Arabidopsis thaliana: one gene and its partners. Each later gene encodes a partner of the first gene's protein in a complex. Each region holds a gene or a part of one and is shown in the gene's direction. Other genes may lie near its edges.

The links.
Region 2: CO (region 1) and PHYB share a complex: the UniProt entries of both Arabidopsis thaliana proteins name them as parts of the red light-dependent nuclear complex.
Region 3: CO (region 1) and AT1G72390 share a complex: the UniProt entries of both Arabidopsis thaliana proteins name them as parts of the red light-dependent nuclear complex.

The regions. Positions count from the first base shown.
Region 1 is NC_003076.8:5,169,637-5,174,687, reverse strand, and holds CO (B-box type zinc finger protein with CCT domain-containing protein), read left to right. Parts: upstream 1-1,602; 5' UTR 1,603-1,990; coding exon 1,991-2,752; coding exon of another isoform or gene 2,753-2,893; exon of another isoform or gene 2,894-2,985; coding exon 2,986-3,345; coding exon of another isoform or gene 3,346-3,350; 3' UTR 3,351-3,639; coding exon of another isoform or gene 3,640-3,677; 3' UTR 3,678-3,784; coding exon of another isoform or gene 3,785-3,794; 3' UTR 3,795-4,526; downstream 4,527-5,051. Other genes in the region: AT5G15843 (uncharacterized protein), read right to left, coding at 2,306-2,459, 2,777-2,893, 2,992-3,350, 3,640-3,677, 3,785-3,794. UniProt on the Arabidopsis thaliana protein: Transcription factor that acts in the long day flowering pathway and may mediate between the circadian clock and the control of flowering.
Region 2 is NC_003071.7:8,138,103-8,145,002, forward strand, and holds PHYB (phytochrome B), read left to right. Parts: upstream 1-1,660; 5' UTR 1,661-1,976; coding exon 1,977-4,140; intron 4,141-4,228; coding exon 4,229-5,036; intron 5,037-5,126; coding exon 5,127-5,417; coding exon of another isoform or gene 5,418-5,547; exon of another isoform or gene 5,548-5,793; coding exon 5,794-6,049; 3' UTR 6,050-6,359; downstream 6,360-6,900. Other genes in the region: XTH21 (xyloglucan endotransglucosylase/hydrolase 21), read left to right, coding at 6,845-6,900. UniProt on the Arabidopsis thaliana protein: Regulatory photoreceptor which exists in two forms that are reversibly interconvertible by light: the Pr form that absorbs maximally in the red region of the spectrum and the Pfr form that absorbs maximally in the far-red region.
Region 3 is NC_003070.9:27,243,467-27,251,122, forward strand, and holds the start of AT1G72390 (nuclear receptor coactivator), read left to right. Parts: upstream 1-1,615; 5' UTR 1,616-1,860; intron 1,861-1,947; exon of another isoform or gene 1,948-1,958; 5' UTR 1,959-1,988; coding exon 1,989-2,102; intron 2,103-2,194; coding exon 2,195-2,264; intron 2,265-2,351; coding exon 2,352-2,416; intron 2,417-2,517; coding exon 2,518-2,595; intron 2,596-2,828; coding exon 2,829-2,909; intron 2,910-3,232; coding exon 3,233-3,370; intron 3,371-3,456; coding exon 3,457-3,555; intron 3,556-3,644; coding exon 3,645-4,999; intron 5,000-5,249; coding exon 5,250-5,467; intron 5,468-5,546; coding exon 5,547-5,695; intron 5,696-6,056; coding exon 6,057-6,095; intron 6,096-6,180; coding exon 6,181-7,656. Other genes in the region: P40 (40s ribosomal protein SA), read right to left, coding at 1-48, 153-350, 430-692, 1,232-1,376. UniProt on the Arabidopsis thaliana protein: Triggers photoperiod-monitored flowering by repressing PHYB-dependent flowering negative regulation, probably through physical interactions with PHYB and CO.

The DNA.
Region 1 (5,051 bases):
TATGATCTATTACTCGTAACAGTTATCCGAAGGCCTACACATGTGAGAGAAGTTCCAAACCGCTACAACAATAAACTTAATTAGAGACTGTCAACGAGCAATAATAAGCAAAACTACTTTTTTCTTGAGCTACAAGTGAAAAGGCCAATACACAATTTACTCTTCATGAACTCGAACCACGTTACAATCTCCAAAAAATTTCATCACCAAAGCACTAAAAGCCAAAGATGCCTCAACTTATCCAACTTGGCAGGATAAAGATCTCCAAAAATGCTTACTAAAGAACCTAGAATCTTTTCTTTAGAATTCAATGATCATATAACCATTTCATAACAATTCTAAATGCCATTACATTCATCGTAAAACCAGTAAATAACAAGAACTTGTATGTTAAGTTCCAATTACCAAGCAAAAAAAAACTTTTCAAAGTTTAAAGTTCAAAATGGGAAAGAGAAGTGCGGTGTAAGCAAATATGAAAGAGGAAGAGATGCGAAAAGTGTATCCTAGGACCAGCATTTTATACAAAAAAAAAACACTCACTTTTCAGCTCTTAAGGCATAGAGTGAAGGTAGCCATATGAATTTGGCCACTAGAGCGTCCGTCAAATCTCATTCTTTTTGGACCACATAATGGGTATCATACATTCACTGGACCCAAAAGCGTAACTGGAGCTAGTCCTCAAACCTAGAGAGTATCGTATCCTGTAGCTTCCACATAGTAAACATTATGAGCATAACACCAACAAGGCAACTCCAAGTACTAATGGTTATTAGTACAGGAAAACCCACGATGCTAAACACATGAATGGGTCACCAAATAGAGTGAAGATGGTTAAATTGCATCTATGGATCATGTGGACTAGTAAATGAGTGTAGCAGAAAACTTCACAATTACCTCTGTGATCTTAGAAACATGTCCTGAAAATTCCATACAAGTGTCGTTTGTATTAGATTACTTCCACAGGTTGAGATCTAATAAAGCTACAATAAATAGTATAGAGTATCATCATAAACCCAAATTACAGAGATGTGACAACACTCATGAGTCATGTTTTGTAACTACTTACTATAATGGTTACCAAGTGCAAATTTCTACATACTATATATGATAAATCTAATTATTGCTCATGTGGACTCCAAAATGCCTTTTAAGTTTTAACTTGTGCGTCAGGTAAATTCTAATTTGTAGTCTCAAGACTACTTGGCGGATTCGAGTTTGATCCTAGAAAATCCACCGTCTCTATGTTTTTCATGTCACTTTTCCGATATGATTCTCATTACCATGACTTTATGAACCAGATTAAACATTATAACACTTTTCATCAGAAAATCCTTCGAAAGTTTCAATTGCAAATCTTTCTAAATGATGCAGATGCATTCACAAATAATGGAACAACAACTATACCATATTCACGAGTTTGTCTAACCTTTGTATAGGTAGTCAACCCATAACAGTTGGTGATGGCTCTGACACTCGAAGCCTTACTCGGAGAGATACCTGAACAGTAATCACAAGGTTCAGGATGAATATTCAACCACTTAAACTTTGTATAAAGCCAAAGAGATAAAACGAATCTAGCTTTACTTTAAATAAAATGCATATGAAAATAGTAAAAGGTGATACGAAAAAATAGTAACAATTTGCCTGCAACACCATGGCATTATCCGGACCACTTCCTCTTGAGAATCTCAGTATGGCAAGTGGCAAAACCTAAGCAACTTGTGAACGGGTCCCAACGAAGAAGTGCATAGGAGGAGATGTTTACACTTTACACTTTACACTTTACACTTTACACATAGGCCTTCCCAAAAGCTCAACTAGCTGCAAGAGGATCCAATAACATGTAAGAGCCACTAACGCTGTGCCACGTGTAGGCACTCAGGATTCGATCTCCCCTCTACTTATTCTCTCACACCAGATATAAGCTTTATTAGCCCCTTCTTTCAGATACCAGCTCCCACACCATCAAACTTACTACATCTGAGTTATTATGTTGAAACAAGAGAGTAACGACATAGGTAGTGGAGAGAACAACAGGGCACGACCCTGTGACACATGCCGGTCAAACGCCTGCACCGTGTATTGCCATGCAGATTCTGCCTACTTGTGCATGAGCTGTGATGCTCAAGTTCACTCTGCCAATCGCGTTGCTTCCCGCCATAAACGTGTCCGGGTCTGCGAGTCATGTGAGCGTGCTCCGGCTGCTTTTTTGTGTGAGGCAGATGATGCCTCTCTATGCACAGCCTGTGATTCAGAGGTTCATTCTGCAAACCCACTTGCTAGACGCCATCAGCGAGTTCCAATTCTACCAATTTCTGGAAACTCTTTCAGCTCCATGACCACTACTCACCACCAAAGCGAGAAAACAATGACCGATCCAGAGAAGAGACTGGTGGTGGATCAAGAGGAAGGTGAAGAAGGTGATAAGGATGCCAAGGAGGTTGCTTCGTGGCTGTTCCCTAATTCAGACAAAAATAACAATAACCAAAACAATGGGTTATTGTTTAGTGATGAGTATCTAAACCTTGTGGATTACAACTCGAGTATGGACTACAAATTCACAGGTGAATACAGTCAACACCAACAAAACTGCAGCGTACCACAGACGAGCTACGGGGGAGATAGAGTTGTTCCGCTTAAACTTGAAGAATCAAGGGGCCACCAGTGCCATAACCAACAGAATTTTCAGTTCAATATCAAATATGGCTCCTCAGGGACTCACTACAACGACAATGGTTCCATTAACCATAACGTAAGGCTTTTGTATATTTGTTACCCCTTCAATTTAGCATCTTCCCATAACGCAGCAGGGTGAATTCTTTCATCATACACACAAATCCACTGATCCACTGCCAACAGTTGATCTATAGCACATAGAAATTTCACCAGAAGTCTATAATAAAAACAATATATGCTTCCTTTTGCATCGACTCTCTTTAGTCCTCTTACCAGGGGGATTGAGAATGTCTTTGTTTCTGTCATTAGGCATACATTTCATCCATGGAAACTGGTGTTGTGCCGGAGTCAACAGCATGTGTCACAACAGCTTCACACCCAAGAACGCCCAAAGGGACAGTAGAGCAACAACCTGACCCTGCAAGCCAGATGATAACAGTAACACAACTCAGTCCAATGGACAGAGAAGCCAGGGTCCTGAGATACAGAGAGAAGAGGAAGACAAGGAAATTTGAGAAGACAATAAGGTATGCTTCGAGGAAGGCATATGCAGAGATAAGACCGCGGGTCAATGGCCGGTTCGCAAAGAGAGAAATCGAAGCCGAGGAGCAAGGGTTCAACACGATGCTAATGTACAACACAGGATATGGGATTGTTCCTTCATTCTGATACTCCTGTGGCAAAAAGAAAAACTAGATTGCAAGCTGTAAATTACTTTTAGTTTGAGATTATGTTAGGTTTGGTGAAATTCTTAGCTTCAAGAAGTATTACTACTGTTGTGCAAATGGGTTTGTAGTTTTGGCTAATTAAAACTATAGTATTCTTCTTTCTCTGCATTAGTTAAACAAAACCAGTCTAATTGGTACAGATCCCCATTTGTGAAATATGGATCATCAAGAAGTGAAAACGCAGATTTCACCTTGCTAACTACTAAGAGGGAAGCCAAGGTTCAAAGCCAATAACTTCCCGATAACCTGAACATGTGACACTTTCACGCCTCCCTGACAACAAAAAGATTCTACAATTCAAGTTGATAACACAGACTCCTCAGCTGTAAATCACAACTTCTTACTAAAATGAGTCATATCACGTTCCTAATTGTAGAAACCATCAGCCATATATGTTCTCGGCTTCAAGAACTGTAAGAAGAAATAAGTAATAACAACCAAGTGTATAGCTTATACTATGTGTTAATGTTAAGTGATGGATTCGAGACCTCACGTGAAAAGTTCATAAAGTGATATAAGGATGCTGCACTTTGCACTTTTTTGCACTTTTCCAAAAATCTAAGGATAGTTCAGATCGATTCTCAAAGCCATCAAATTTTAAAACCATTCCCAAACTTTACATGGTCCCTGGGCCTTCATAGATTCTCACTCTTTTAACTTCTTGCTTACAAAAAAAAAACCATTCTCCTTAATCTGAAGTAGGAAAAAGTCTGCAACTACAGCATGAGTTTGACAGAAAAATTATAACACTCTGCTTTCTAAGGTTCTTATCTTGCTTCAATGACCATATACTAAAATAGCAATTTCCTCCACATAATCCACAAAAAACTTTGGTGTCATGTGAAGAAGGCCTGAGAGTAGTTCCTAACTAACCAATAACCATTACAAAGGAAATCCACAGACTGACTAAGAAGAAGTAAAGACAGAACAAATGAAAAATGCCAAAACAGAACAACACAAGCACAGCTATATCTGAACACGCCTTAAAACACCATTTAATATATAATCATCTCTATACTTACCAGAGAGTCAGAAACCAGTATAAACCCTAACATTTATACAAATCGGAATCAGTCACCATCAAAATATAAACCCTAACATTCATTCAAACTGATTTTCGATAAAGAAACTTACTTTCAACCCGTCACAATAGATTTGGGATGATTTTGGATAAATTTGAGGAAAAATATGCGAAATTCAATAGATTGAATATGCAAGGGTTTAAGGATGTGAAATTCAATAGATTGAAAAAACACAATTTTTTGCTCAATTAGATCCAAATTCATCCCAGATCGATTTTGTCTGACGAGCTGAGATTAAAGGAGTTTACCAGAAAACCCCAAATCGGGATTGTGAAGTGAAAAGCCCTAAATTTTGAGCGACGATCGATCATCAAACTTCGAAATATTCAACAATGACGCACGCAACTGGTCTTGTCTAATACTAACGGGCTGGGCCAAAGGATCTGATATAAGGCCCAATTATTCTTGCGCGATAAACTTCTGTTTCAGGGGACGGCCCAAGTAGTCTTCCGAACTAAGCTTATCTTCTTTCAGGAAGTTTCCTTTTTTGTTGTTGCATGATCATTTTCTATCTTTATCTTATCAAAAGATAATAATCTTATCATTCACGATGAGTTATTCTAAG
Region 2 (6,900 bases), on another chromosome or scaffold:
AAATTTTACTTTACCTTTTACTCTGATTTCTTCAGAGATTATGAGAGAACGAACACTTCAGAAATGTTAGATGTTTCTAAATTGGGCTTGGGCTTTAAAGTATTACCCAAAGGCTATTAAAGTCGTTTTTTCCAATTTGGGCTCCTGATTTATTAGTATGGGAGGGCTTAGTTTTGGGCTTTAAAGTATGCCCCAATGCCTAATAATGTCTAGCTAGTTCTTCGTTATACTAAAGAACGAATTTTGGAAATTCTTGAATTACGATTGTACCCTTATATTAATTTCATCTTTTGTCTTATTCTTATTTATGCAAAAGTTATGCAAAAGTTTTAAGAAATTAGCAGCCAAGCCTAAAGAATCATTGAGAGTTTATAAGGGTGATTTGGTAATTGAGTAGTTTATTAGCTAATTTGATTTCAGTGGCACGTGGTAAATTACTGGTGGTTTAAAACTATTGTACGTGGACGATTCTTAGCCAACGAACTAGTACACTCTAGTGCGAACAGGTACATGATTAAATTCGTGGACATCCAATCATATCTCGTCCAAGATAAGACCAAAACATATGAGGTCATTACTCACTAATAAACATTTAAACTTTTGTTTTGTCAACGAATAGTGTGTTTTTCTTTTGTCATTCCAATTTTTTTCTGTTTTCTTTTCACTATTCACTTTTGGTCCATAATATTTTATGGGTATATAAGATAATCGTTTTTGTCTTCATACATGGTAACATGGATGTTTATATATGTAATAGTGTTAAAAAGAAAAAGTGGTCGGTTATACTTAACTTATTATGATAGAGCTTTGAAAACAAACAACACGAGATGGAGAAATTAGTCATTCAACAAAAGAAAAGGACGAACGCAGTGACTTAACATGAAACTGTGAGCGGCCCAAAATCATTTATGTAATGGACCCTTAACTTTTCATGCACACGATTTTTCTCATTTATATGTTTTTCTGCTCTCTTTTTTTCCTCTTTATCATTACTTTAATTTATTTTATGTTCTTTTTTCGAAGCACCATAATTGTATGCTTTCACCAAATAATCCAAATTTAGAATCATTAATATGTCAAAAAAGAATTGCATATATTCAATAAAACGTAATGCTAAGTAGTACAATGCATGTATTATACAAAATGTAATGATATAGATCCAACGTATATATCAAAGTGGACCAAAATATATCTTATGTATTAGACGAGTTTACTATGCAAAATTTATGATTCTATTCCGCATGGAGCGTGCTAATACTACTTCGAACCCCTTTGAGACCAATATGTGATTCTATATTCTATCTAGTACAAATTATGAGAAGTATATACGTACGATGAGAGTATAAAACATTTCAATATTTGTATAGAGAGGACACCACTTGGTTGACTTGACCCACGATAAGATATTGAAGAAACCAAACTTGTATAGTACGAATTCGAAATCGTAATTGATGATGCGATTCGACAAGTCCAGGGGCTCCCTCCCACGCGCAATGGGCCCAGCAACCACGTGTGGCCACTAGAGAGAATAAACCATTAGCCCACGTGATCTTGGGCCCAATCAATCTCTCCCTCACATTAAACGACAAAACAAAAGCTCTTCTGGGTTAAATTGATAAATATCAAAACTTTAAAGGTAATTTGCTAAAATCGCCACACAAAAAAAGTCGCAGAAAATATATGAGGAAACAAAAAGCGAAGACGACAAAAAAAAAAAAAACTCTGATTTTTTTTTGTTATCTCTCTCTATCTGAGAGGCACACATTTTGCTTCGTCTTCTTCAATTTATTTTATTGGTTTCTCCACTTATCTCCGATCTCAATTCTCCCCATTTTCTTCTTCCTCAAGTTCAAAATTCTTGAGAATTTAGCTCTACCAGAATTCGTCTCCGATAACTAGTGGATGATGATTCACCCTAAATCCTTCCTTGTCTCAAGGTAATTCTGAGAAATTTCTCAAATTCAAAATCAAACGGCATGGTTTCCGGAGTCGGGGGTAGTGGCGGTGGCCGTGGCGGTGGCCGTGGCGGAGAAGAAGAACCGTCGTCAAGTCACACTCCTAATAACCGAAGAGGAGGAGAACAAGCTCAATCGTCGGGAACGAAATCTCTCAGACCAAGAAGCAACACTGAATCAATGAGCAAAGCAATTCAACAGTACACCGTCGACGCAAGACTCCACGCCGTTTTCGAACAATCCGGCGAATCAGGGAAATCATTCGACTACTCACAATCACTCAAAACGACGACGTACGGTTCCTCTGTACCTGAGCAACAGATCACAGCTTATCTCTCTCGAATCCAGCGAGGTGGTTACATTCAGCCTTTCGGATGTATGATCGCCGTCGATGAATCCAGTTTCCGGATCATCGGTTACAGTGAAAACGCCAGAGAAATGTTAGGGATTATGCCTCAATCTGTTCCTACTCTTGAGAAACCTGAGATTCTAGCTATGGGAACTGATGTGAGATCTTTGTTCACTTCTTCGAGCTCGATTCTACTCGAGCGTGCTTTCGTTGCTCGAGAGATTACCTTGTTAAATCCGGTTTGGATCCATTCCAAGAATACTGGTAAACCGTTTTACGCCATTCTTCATAGGATTGATGTTGGTGTTGTTATTGATTTAGAGCCAGCTAGAACTGAAGATCCTGCGCTTTCTATTGCTGGTGCTGTTCAATCGCAGAAACTCGCGGTTCGTGCGATTTCTCAGTTACAGGCTCTTCCTGGTGGAGATATTAAGCTTTTGTGTGACACTGTCGTGGAAAGTGTGAGGGACTTGACTGGTTATGATCGTGTTATGGTTTATAAGTTTCATGAAGATGAGCATGGAGAAGTTGTAGCTGAGAGTAAACGAGATGATTTAGAGCCTTATATTGGACTGCATTATCCTGCTACTGATATTCCTCAAGCGTCAAGGTTCTTGTTTAAGCAGAACCGTGTCCGAATGATAGTAGATTGCAATGCCACACCTGTTCTTGTGGTCCAGGACGATAGGCTAACTCAGTCTATGTGCTTGGTTGGTTCTACTCTTAGGGCTCCTCATGGTTGTCACTCTCAGTATATGGCTAACATGGGATCTATTGCGTCTTTAGCAATGGCGGTTATAATCAATGGAAATGAAGATGATGGGAGCAATGTAGCTAGTGGAAGAAGCTCGATGAGGCTTTGGGGTTTGGTTGTTTGCCATCACACTTCTTCTCGCTGCATACCGTTTCCGCTAAGGTATGCTTGTGAGTTTTTGATGCAGGCTTTCGGTTTACAGTTAAACATGGAATTGCAGTTAGCTTTGCAAATGTCAGAGAAACGCGTTTTGAGAACGCAGACACTGTTATGTGATATGCTTCTGCGTGACTCGCCTGCTGGAATTGTTACACAGAGTCCCAGTATCATGGACTTAGTGAAATGTGACGGTGCAGCATTTCTTTACCACGGGAAGTATTACCCGTTGGGTGTTGCTCCTAGTGAAGTTCAGATAAAAGATGTTGTGGAGTGGTTGCTTGCGAATCATGCGGATTCAACCGGATTAAGCACTGATAGTTTAGGCGATGCGGGGTATCCCGGTGCAGCTGCGTTAGGGGATGCTGTGTGCGGTATGGCAGTTGCATATATCACAAAAAGAGACTTTCTTTTTTGGTTTCGATCTCACACTGCGAAAGAAATCAAATGGGGAGGCGCTAAGCATCATCCGGAGGATAAAGATGATGGGCAACGAATGCATCCTCGTTCGTCCTTTCAGGCTTTTCTTGAAGTTGTTAAGAGCCGGAGTCAGCCATGGGAAACTGCGGAAATGGATGCGATTCACTCGCTCCAGCTTATTCTGAGAGACTCTTTTAAAGAATCTGAGGCGGCTATGAACTCTAAAGTTGTGGATGGTGTGGTTCAGCCATGTAGGGATATGGCGGGGGAACAGGGGATTGATGAGTTAGGTGCAGTTGCAAGAGAGATGGTTAGGCTCATTGAGACTGCAACTGTTCCTATATTCGCTGTGGATGCCGGAGGCTGCATCAATGGATGGAACGCTAAGATTGCAGAGTTGACAGGTCTCTCAGTTGAAGAAGCTATGGGGAAGTCTCTGGTTTCTGATTTAATATACAAAGAGAATGAAGCAACTGTCAATAAGCTTCTTTCTCGTGCTTTGAGAGGTATATTCAGTTCTTCAGCTATGTTGTATCTGCGGTGTATATACCAATTCGCGGGTATTTGATTATTTTGTTGCATTTGGCAATGCAGGGGACGAGGAAAAGAATGTGGAGGTTAAGCTGAAAACTTTCAGCCCCGAACTACAAGGGAAAGCAGTTTTTGTGGTTGTGAATGCTTGTTCCAGCAAGGACTACTTGAACAACATTGTCGGCGTTTGTTTTGTTGGACAAGACGTTACTAGTCAGAAAATCGTAATGGATAAGTTCATCAACATACAAGGAGATTACAAGGCTATTGTACATAGCCCAAACCCTCTAATCCCGCCAATTTTTGCTGCTGACGAGAACACGTGCTGCCTGGAATGGAACATGGCGATGGAAAAGCTTACGGGTTGGTCTCGCAGTGAAGTGATTGGGAAAATGATTGTCGGGGAAGTGTTTGGGAGCTGTTGCATGCTAAAGGGTCCTGATGCTTTAACCAAGTTCATGATTGTATTGCATAATGCGATTGGTGGCCAAGATACGGATAAGTTCCCTTTCCCATTCTTTGACCGCAATGGGAAGTTTGTTCAGGCTCTATTGACTGCAAACAAGCGGGTTAGCCTCGAGGGAAAGGTTATTGGGGCTTTCTGTTTCTTGCAAATCCCGAGCCCTGAGCTGCAGCAAGCTTTAGCAGTCCAACGGAGGCAGGACACAGAGTGTTTCACGAAGGCAAAAGAGTTGGCTTATATTTGTCAGGTGATAAAGAATCCTTTGAGCGGTATGCGTTTCGCAAACTCATTGTTGGAGGCCACAGACTTGAACGAGGACCAGAAGCAGTTACTTGAAACAAGTGTTTCTTGCGAGAAACAGATCTCAAGGATCGTCGGGGACATGGATCTTGAAAGCATTGAAGACGGGTGAGTATAGTTAGAATTTATCTAGAAGCTAGTTTTGCTTACTTCACAAAATGTGACCAAATCCCAAATTTTGTTTTTTTCATTGATCAGTTCATTTGTGCTAAAGAGGGAAGAGTTTTTCCTTGGAAGTGTCATAAACGCGATTGTAAGTCAAGCGATGTTCTTATTAAGGGACAGAGGTCTTCAGCTGATCCGTGACATTCCCGAAGAGATCAAATCAATAGAGGTTTTTGGAGACCAGATAAGGATTCAACAGCTCCTGGCTGAGTTTCTGCTGAGTATAATCCGGTATGCACCATCTCAAGAGTGGGTGGAGATCCATTTAAGCCAACTTTCAAAGCAAATGGCTGATGGATTCGCCGCCATCCGCACAGAATTCAGGTACATTTCATTGTTCCCGCTGTTGTCTCCACATATCCATAACCAAAATTATGCAATCCGGTTTTTTTGGTTCCTTATTTTGTACATAAAGAAAATGAATTTGGTTTGGTTAATTACGAATTTGATTTAGGCGTTTAAAGAATTTGAGGTTTTAACCAATTCACTATTTGTTTTGGTTATTGTTTAGTTGGAACCTAGATTAGTTTGATTTTTGTATTCGGTTTAGTCGACTTGGGAACTTTTAGACACATCCATAGGCCTAGAATTAGCAGTCAAGGAATGTAATGTTTTCAAATTGATGAAAACCAGCTCAAAAGTGTAAAACTTGGGTTTCATGTGTTGGTGTCTTTGTTATGTCTTTATTCGTTGTTTGCAGAATGGCGTGTCCAGGTGAAGGTCTGCCTCCAGAGCTAGTCCGAGACATGTTCCATAGCAGCAGGTGGACAAGCCCTGAAGGTTTAGGTCTAAGCGTATGTCGAAAGATTTTAAAGCTAATGAACGGTGAGGTTCAATACATCCGAGAATCAGAACGGTCCTATTTCCTCATCATTCTGGAACTCCCTGTACCTCGAAAGCGACCATTGTCAACTGCTAGTGGAAGTGGTGACATGATGCTGATGATGCCATATTAGTCACACTTCAGTTGGTATGAGAGTTTGTATCATTGTATGAGTGTTTGTGTGTCTAACGACGTCGGAGGAGGATAGAAAGTTTTTTTTTTGTTTCCGGTGAGATTAGTAGAGAAGAGGGAGATTATTTGCGTTCAGCTCAGCTCGCCGGAAAAAAAACGTAACAGTAGTTGTAGAGAATTTCAAGACTTTTGTTTGTGCTGTGTAAATTGACAACTCCGAGAGAAACAAAACAATGAGATAAGAAGAGAGCATATTAATCGATGACCAATCCTTTTAATTTGTTACTCGTTACATCAATTCAAAATTATTATTTGATTGTTAACCATTTATAAATCATATTATATCCAATTAGTCTGTCTACGCAATCAAGAGGTAAAGGCCAATCACATTAATTTTAAAAGATTTATGATGAAATGGTACCGTCCAAAAAGTTGAAATTTTACAAACTCCACTATATATATAAAAAGTGAGATGTTTAAATTAGGCTGGCTAAGCTTAGGATGTAACACATTAACAATAGTTAATTTAATGTTTATGATGTATCGCACTATAGTTTTGATGTGTATGCTCTCCAGGCTGTTTCGTTTTTCACATTACCCACACTAAACTCACCTTTTTTCTTAAAGAAAATTAAAGTAAAGCTCAAAGACTGAAATATTAACAATATATAACTAATCATTAAGGAATCAAAACTCCATTATATATGCTCTATAAATACTCACCAATCAATAGCCTTCTAAATGTCTCAAACCCAATTCAAACCCTTAAACCCACCTAAAACCTTCAAAACTTATAATGGTTTCTAGTACACTTTTGGTTATGTCAATATCTCTCTTTCTTGGTTTAAGCAT
Region 3 (7,656 bases), on another chromosome or scaffold:
ATCCTCTGGCTTAGTCTCCTCAGGTTCCCTGTAAAAGAACAGGTCAACCTGCACAACACCATACCATATGAAAAATTCAGTCAATAAACAGGGAAAGTTTTTAATGAACAGATGCCTTTCTAATCTAAGAGCTCCAAGAATGATATTCTTACCATGACATCCCACTTCTGTCCAGCAGCAATGGTTCCACGCATCTGAAGGACCATGCGAGCCAGAAGCCAGAAAAGGCACCCAATGCTGTGCTTTCCCTTGTTGTTGGCTGGGATACCAATGTCAACAAATCTCATTGGAGAGTCTGTGTCACAGAAAGCAATGATTGGAATGTTTCCCAAAGCACCTTCCTTGATAGGCTGCAACACACACAAGACATTTATCAATAACAAAAATCATTAATCAATCACTAGTATATGAATCATATGAAGAGTTTACCTGGTGGTCAGTTCTTGGGTCAGTAAGAATCAACAGCCTTGGTTCACTGAAGGATGTCTGCATCTGATTGGTGAAGGTACCAGGAGTGTGTCTTCCAGCAATGGCATTGGCTCCAGTGTACTGAGCAAACTTCAACACAGCTCTCTGTCCATAGGGCCTAGCTGACTGGACGATGATGTCCTGTGGGTTCTCAATGGCAACAATAACTCTAGCAGCCATCTGGAGCTTTTCCCATGTTTTGCCAAGGTTGAAGATGTAAATACCTGAGAATGACGAAAACTTCAAAAACTAAGTTCCATACTCACCACTTACAATTGTAAATTACAATAAAAGAGCAACAATAACACACACTAGCACAAATACAATCTCAAACATCAGTCAAAACTAAAATCTCAATTTTTTTTTTTTTACAAACACACAGAGAGAGATAGAAATGAAACTTGAGCCTTTGATCATTTGTTCATACATTTCTGTAAACAAGAACACTAGAGAAGACACAGAAACAAAAGCCTTTTCTTAGATACGAACGCAGAGAAGTGAGCGTGCTGACAAAAACGGCTAGTTGCAACATTTTATCTTTTCTCAGTCAGCGACATATTTAGATCCGTCGTGAGTAAAATCTACTCTCGATACAATAAAACAACCTATAAATCCAAAAACCATCTAAAACAAAGCAGCATAAACCAAATAAACAGATCATCAACATTTATACAAATCCGAAATATCAACACAGAATCTCAACACTATAACCATCAACATACATACATACAGATAGTTTATCAAAAAATATACGAGAAATTACCATCGTTGCGTCTCTTGAAGACGTAACGCTCCATCTGGTAATTGCAATTCTTGGTTCCAAGATGAACCTCAGCGGCACACATCATCCTGACATCAGCTTCCTTCTGAGAGAGCTGCGCTGAGCTAGCAGATCCATTAGTCGCCATTTTCTTATCTCTCTTCTTCTTCTTCGCCGGGAACTAATCGCCGCGATAAGCTTTTTTCACTCAGTAAATCACACGAAGAGGCGACGAAAGGCTTATAAGGGTGAAGGATTTTATATATCAAGCAAAACCCTAATTTGCAAAATGTCTATTCTACCCCCAAACTCGGTTACCCAAATTTTAATCGAAGCTAACCAAAATTAATAACTGGTTCAACTTCCGTTTTGTCTTAAACCGAAATCCAAGTGTGCACAGAGACACAAAAGATAATTTCTTTTTCTGCTACTTTGAAGTTAGAAGAAGAACCCTAACAATAATCTCTCTTCCTTTCTCTTCCGATCGCATCTTCTTCAAAAATTTCCCACCTGTGTTTCACAAATTCCATGTTTATGAATTCTTCATTGCTCTATTCTTAGTCACCTTTGATTTCTCTCGCTTTCTATCCGATCCAATTGTTTGATGATCTTCTCTGTAACAAGCTCATAAGGTTTCAATTTCTCTAGCTTTCTTAAAATTCATTCTTCGATTTCTTCAATTCTCGTGTCTTTTTTATTTCTGTATCGTTTATTGACAGTACCTAGACAGGTTTGAGCTTCATCTCTCTGGAGAGAATCCATGGGTGTCTCGTTTAAGATATCGAAGGTTGGTAGAAAGTTTCGACCTAAGATTTCTACTGAATTGGCTACTCCTGATTCCCCAAAAGCAATCGTTCTATCTGGGAAACCAAAGGTAATTTAACTTAGAATTTTAGTTGTATTGTGTTCCAACTAAATTCGCTTATTTTGGAAAGTTATATAGAAAATTTATTACGTTTGGTTCAGGCCACTGATGATAGCAATATTGGCGATGTTTCCGGGTTTTCGAAGCCATCTTTACCCGATATATCTCCAGGTTTGGATCTCAACGAACCACTTTGACACATAATGTTTTGCTAAATTCTAGCTATGTTGAATTGAGTGCATTTTGGTTTCTCTGCAGATCATGAAGTTTCCTTCATATTGAGCCTCTATCCAAATGGGTACTCTATAGGAAAAACCTCTGAGGTATGTACTGAGAGTCTATATGAATTTATTTATCTTGTGATTTCTTGTATTTGAGTTTTAAAACCTTCACGTTTTCACAAATTTGAGTTTTTGAATACCAGGCTATGCAACAGATATCGTTTCGAGATGTTCCAAAGGTCTTACATCCGTATGATAGGGCAGCAGAGGGTCTCCTTTCGGTAAATCTTTCGAACTATGTTATTATAGACTTGATTTGAACATGTAATCAAAGTTTTGGTGAATGAATTCAAAGTACTTAGATTTAGTAAATGTGAAGATGATGTTTTTTTTCCCCACTTGTTCTACCCGAATAATGCATTTCACTGCACTACTTACTCGCGTTTTGTTAAATACACTTTCTGAGTTTCATTCTACTGAGTAAATGTTTTTAATCCCTTTGTACGCTTTATAGGCTATTGAGGCTGGCAGGCTTCCTGGGGACATTTTGGAAGATATACCTTGCAAATTTGTGGATGGGGTGGTTATATGTGAGGTGAGTTATCTGCAATTATTTTTTGGGATAAAGCCTTCCATAAGTTCTTGGAAACAGTCCAAACGTATATAAATATATTTAAAAAGAGCTCAACAGAAATTATCTACACTTAATCAAGATTAAAAAAATGTCGTAATTATAAGTACATGGAAGTTTATCTTCCAAACTCAATTGTACATGTATTTGATTGTTTCTGAAACATAATGGAGTAACTGGGACCAGAAGTAAACATAAAAAACCTAGTTATACTAATTTTTAATTGACTGCTGTGTACCATCTTACATCATCATGTTTTCTTTAATTTTTGGCACATACTATTGTAGGTGCATGACTATCGGAAACATACCTCATCTCAAGTCTCTCCTGTGATAAATAAATTGCGCCTTAAGATGTCACTCGAGAATGTGGTAAAAGATATTCCATCAATGTCAGACAACTCATGGACGTACGGTGATCTCATGGTAATCATGGTAGCTCGTGGCTTATAGGTCGTATATCTGAGCACTGAAACTATTATCTTCTGTACTGATCCTTACATCAACTGCAGGAAGTGGAGTCCAGGATATTAAAAGCCTTACAACCTGAACTCTGTCTGGATCCTTTACCCAGACTTGATAGGCTGAGTAAAAATCCTTTGACTGCTAAGGTAATATCTCATTAAAAAGACTCCTTGTGCTTTCTGTTCTCAGTTGTTTATTATAGTGTCTAAAATGTTTTTTTTTCTCTACTCGATAGCTCGATTTGTCGCTTTCTACTTTGCGGAGAAAGAGATTAAGGCAAATGGCAGAAGTGACAGTCATGTCTCAGAATAAGATTCAGGGGAAAAAGGTGTGCATTGATCGGCTTCCTGAAAGTTCAGAGCGAGGAAATTTGCCAGGGCATTTGATAATGCAGCAAACCAATAACAACCAGGCTATTCAAAACCTTGGTACTAATATGCTGGCGGGATTAAGAAGTCAGCCGTTGCAAGATGCACCAAATTCCTCTCTGGCCTTGGTACCACCTCAGCAACAAAGGTACATGGGAATTGGAAGTACAAGAAACACGCAGGATCAAGGATCAAATTCTGTCAGTGTCTCTGGCGCTTCGCCTGGTGGACTAGATGCGATGCTGCCTTATGGCTCTGATAGTATGAACCCTGGTACATCTTTTCATAGAAAGAGAGAAAGTCAAGAAGGACAAATGTCTTCTATGCCTGGCTTGAATAAGCGAACAAGGGTTTCACATATGGGTCCTGATGGGGTTCCGCAGCAACAGTTAGGGCAACGTATGGATGGCCTTCATGGATCCGATACAAATTGGAAAAATACGCTTCTACAACACCAAGACATGCTAGGCAGAAGTATTCAGTATCCAAATACAAGTATTCAGAGGTTTTCACCACACCAAATGGAAGGGGTTATGAATCAGGAAGGTGGTCCCATGCAATTTCCAGCTTCACAACAGGGGGGAATGAAATACACTTCAAAAGAGGAGCCATTTGAGACTGGTAAAATTGATGGCGGCACCAGAAACAATATTCCGGGGGTGGGAAGTGATGCAAATGATTTAGATCCACGTATTCAGTCAAGGATGCCCCATAATGCATTCATTAGATCAAATTTCCCTCAAACATCCTGGAATGTTAATCCTGGCCAGCAGATTGAAAAAGAGCCGAAAAAAGAAGAACAATTTAGTCGTAGGATATCGGCTCAAAGTCCTCGTTTGTCGGCAGGTGGTCCACCGCAGTCCCCACTTTCATCGAAGTCTGGTGAGTTTTCTGGTGGTTCAATGGGGACCCACTATGGAGCAGTTGCAGCAGCTCAGAAGGACAAGGCTGTTACTTCTATTCCTGCTATTGGTGCTACTCAGTCAGTGGGTTCTAGTGCTAATGAAGCTATGCAGCAAAGGCAACACCAAGCCCAAATGGCTGCAAAACGGAGAACAAATTCTCTTCCTAAGACGCAAGTTATTAGCACTGTTGGTTCTCCTGTTAGTGTCAATACTATTAGTGTCCCAGTTAATGCAAGGAGCCCTTCAGTGGGACCCCAAACTTTGGGCGATCACGCAATCTTGGACAGATTTTCAAAGATTGAACGAGTTGCTGCTAGGTATGAATGTTATGAAACCTGGTTTGTTGATTTTATTCCCTTCAAATTCTTTTTTATGATCTTTACTTTCACTTATGTGATACTTCTCCTGTTTTGATTCTGGCTTTACGCTAGAGCATTGCTGGCATTGTCTTATTCTCCTTATATCATTGCATTTATATAAATAAATAATGTTTGTTGGTGCATGAACAAGTTCTATATTTCATAGATTTTATTTTTTGGTTGATCCAGTTTCTTGTTCCATTTTTAGGTACCAACTAAACTGCAAAAAGCATAAGGTGGATGAGTACTCTCGAAGACCTCGCGTGTATGCTAAACAGCCCCTTACTGTTTGTTTATCAAACCTGTCTAACGAAGAGGTCTTCAAAGACGAGGACGAAGCATTATCAAAATCTATATTTGGTGGCAGTATGAATACATACAAGACCAGAGTCATTCACTTTGGTCAGATGGAACGTGTAATGCAAGGTCTGTTTTTCTTTTAACTAGATATCTGGCTATTGGTATATTTCTTTATGTGATTGACCAGACTCCAGTATCTTTTCAGGTTCGGTCCCTTCCTTCATCCCTAGAAACCGAACAAGACTGGTGATGTCAGAGAAGGCCGTCGATGGGACAGTAGCATGGTATCAAGGGGACGTAGATGAAGGGGATGTTTTTCAGGCTGAAGATTTTCTCTTAGCGTTGCCCAATACAGTAAGTTCACAGGAAATTTGATAGTTATCATACTCCCCTGCATTCTTTTTTGATCAGCAATATATCTTCAACTTGCATGCACTACCATTCAATGTAATGTTGATTTTACATTTAGTGATGTTTATAGGTTGTCGGGTCATGTTCTTGGGGTTTATGTCTCTGTTGTGAATGTTTTGTGTAATTATGAATATGGTTGGTTGGTCTATGGATACTTCTCTCTTGTTAGTTGCTTATGCTCGTTTATCCTTCTTGTCCAATGCGATCAAAAGGGAATGGACAATGGATTATTAATTTTTCTCTTATGTACGCCACTTATTTTCTGGAAGCTATGCTGACTTGCTTATTCCTCACTTTGTCACAGCACATCGCCGATCTACTTGCTACTCAATTTAAATCACTGGTATTTCTCGAGTTCTGAATCAATTATTTCATGTTCCTGGTTCTATGGTAAAGCTACTTAAAGATTGATTTATATGCTTATGCAGATGGCCCGTGAAGGATACATGATTGAAGAACATATTATGGCAAAGCCAAACCGTGGGGATACTGGCCCAATCAGCAGCCATCCAAATTCTGCGGGTGGTTATCCAAGAGGTTATTCTGCAAACGATATGCAACAGTATGGAGATGCAGTTGCAGGGCAAGCGTCTGGTGAGGCATCAAAACATGGGAATACTGGAAATACGCCGAATAACTCAACCCAGAATATTCTTGCAAATGCAAGGATGGTTCCTCCAACAAATTCTCAAGCCTTGCAAATGTCTCAAGGACTGCTGTCTGGTGTCTCCATGCCTATGCAACCACAACAGCTTGACCCACAACAGTCAGCGCTACTGTCATCACATTCACAGCAGAAAAATCAACAGTCAATGTTTACACAGCAACAGCATCCACAAATGCAGAGACCTTCCATGATACTGCCTACAAATCCACTATCAGCCATCAACTCGATGAGCCAGAGCTCTGGTATGCAGCCGGGTGGTCAGATGGCCAACAAGTATTCGCCTCTCCAACTGCAGATGTTACAGCAGCAGCAGCAGGCGGCAGTGCAGAAGAAGATAATGATGGGGCTAGGATCAGGTGTAGGCATGGGTATGGGTATGGGCATGGGTATGGGTATGGGAAGCATGGGAAATAGTATTGCTGGGCTTGGAGCTTTAGGCAACCAATTGAATATGGCAGGAAGAGGTATGGGGGGAACCGGAATCTCATCGTCAATGTCTGTTCCTGGCATCGGTAATATGGGCCAGAACCCAATGAATCTGAATCCAGCATCAAATTTGAATGCTATAAGCCAGCAACTCCGATCTGGTGCATTAACACCACAACAAAACGCTCTGTTTACACAGATTAGGATGGGCATGGCAAACCGAGGAGGTGTAATGGGTGCTCCTCAAACCGGGATAAGTGGCGTGTCAGGTACTAGGCAGATGCACCCCAGCTCAGCTGGTCTTTCCATGTTGGATCAGAACAGAGCTAATCTGCAGCGAGCTGCTGCTATGGGTAACATGGGCCCACCCAAGCTGATGCCTGGAATGATGAATCTTTACATGAATCAACAACAACAGCAGCAGCAACTCCAGCAGCAACCCCAACAACAACAGTTGCAGCATCAGCAACAGTTACAGCAGCCTATGTCTCAGCCATCTCAGCAGCTAGCTCAGTCTCCGCAGCAGCAGCAGCAGCTACAACAACATGAACAGCCTCAACAAGCACAGCAGCAGCAGCAGGCAACAGCATCCCCTCTTCAGTCTGTACTATCACCACCCCAAGTAGGGTCACCATCAGCTGGAATTACCCAACAGCAGCTACAACAGTCCAGTCCCCAGCAAATGAGTCAGAGAACTCCAATGAGTCCCCAGCAAGTGAACCAAAGAACTCCTATGAGTCCTCAGATAAGCTCGGGTGCAATGCATCCCATGAGCACAAGCAACCTCGAGGGTTGTCCAGCGAGTCCACAG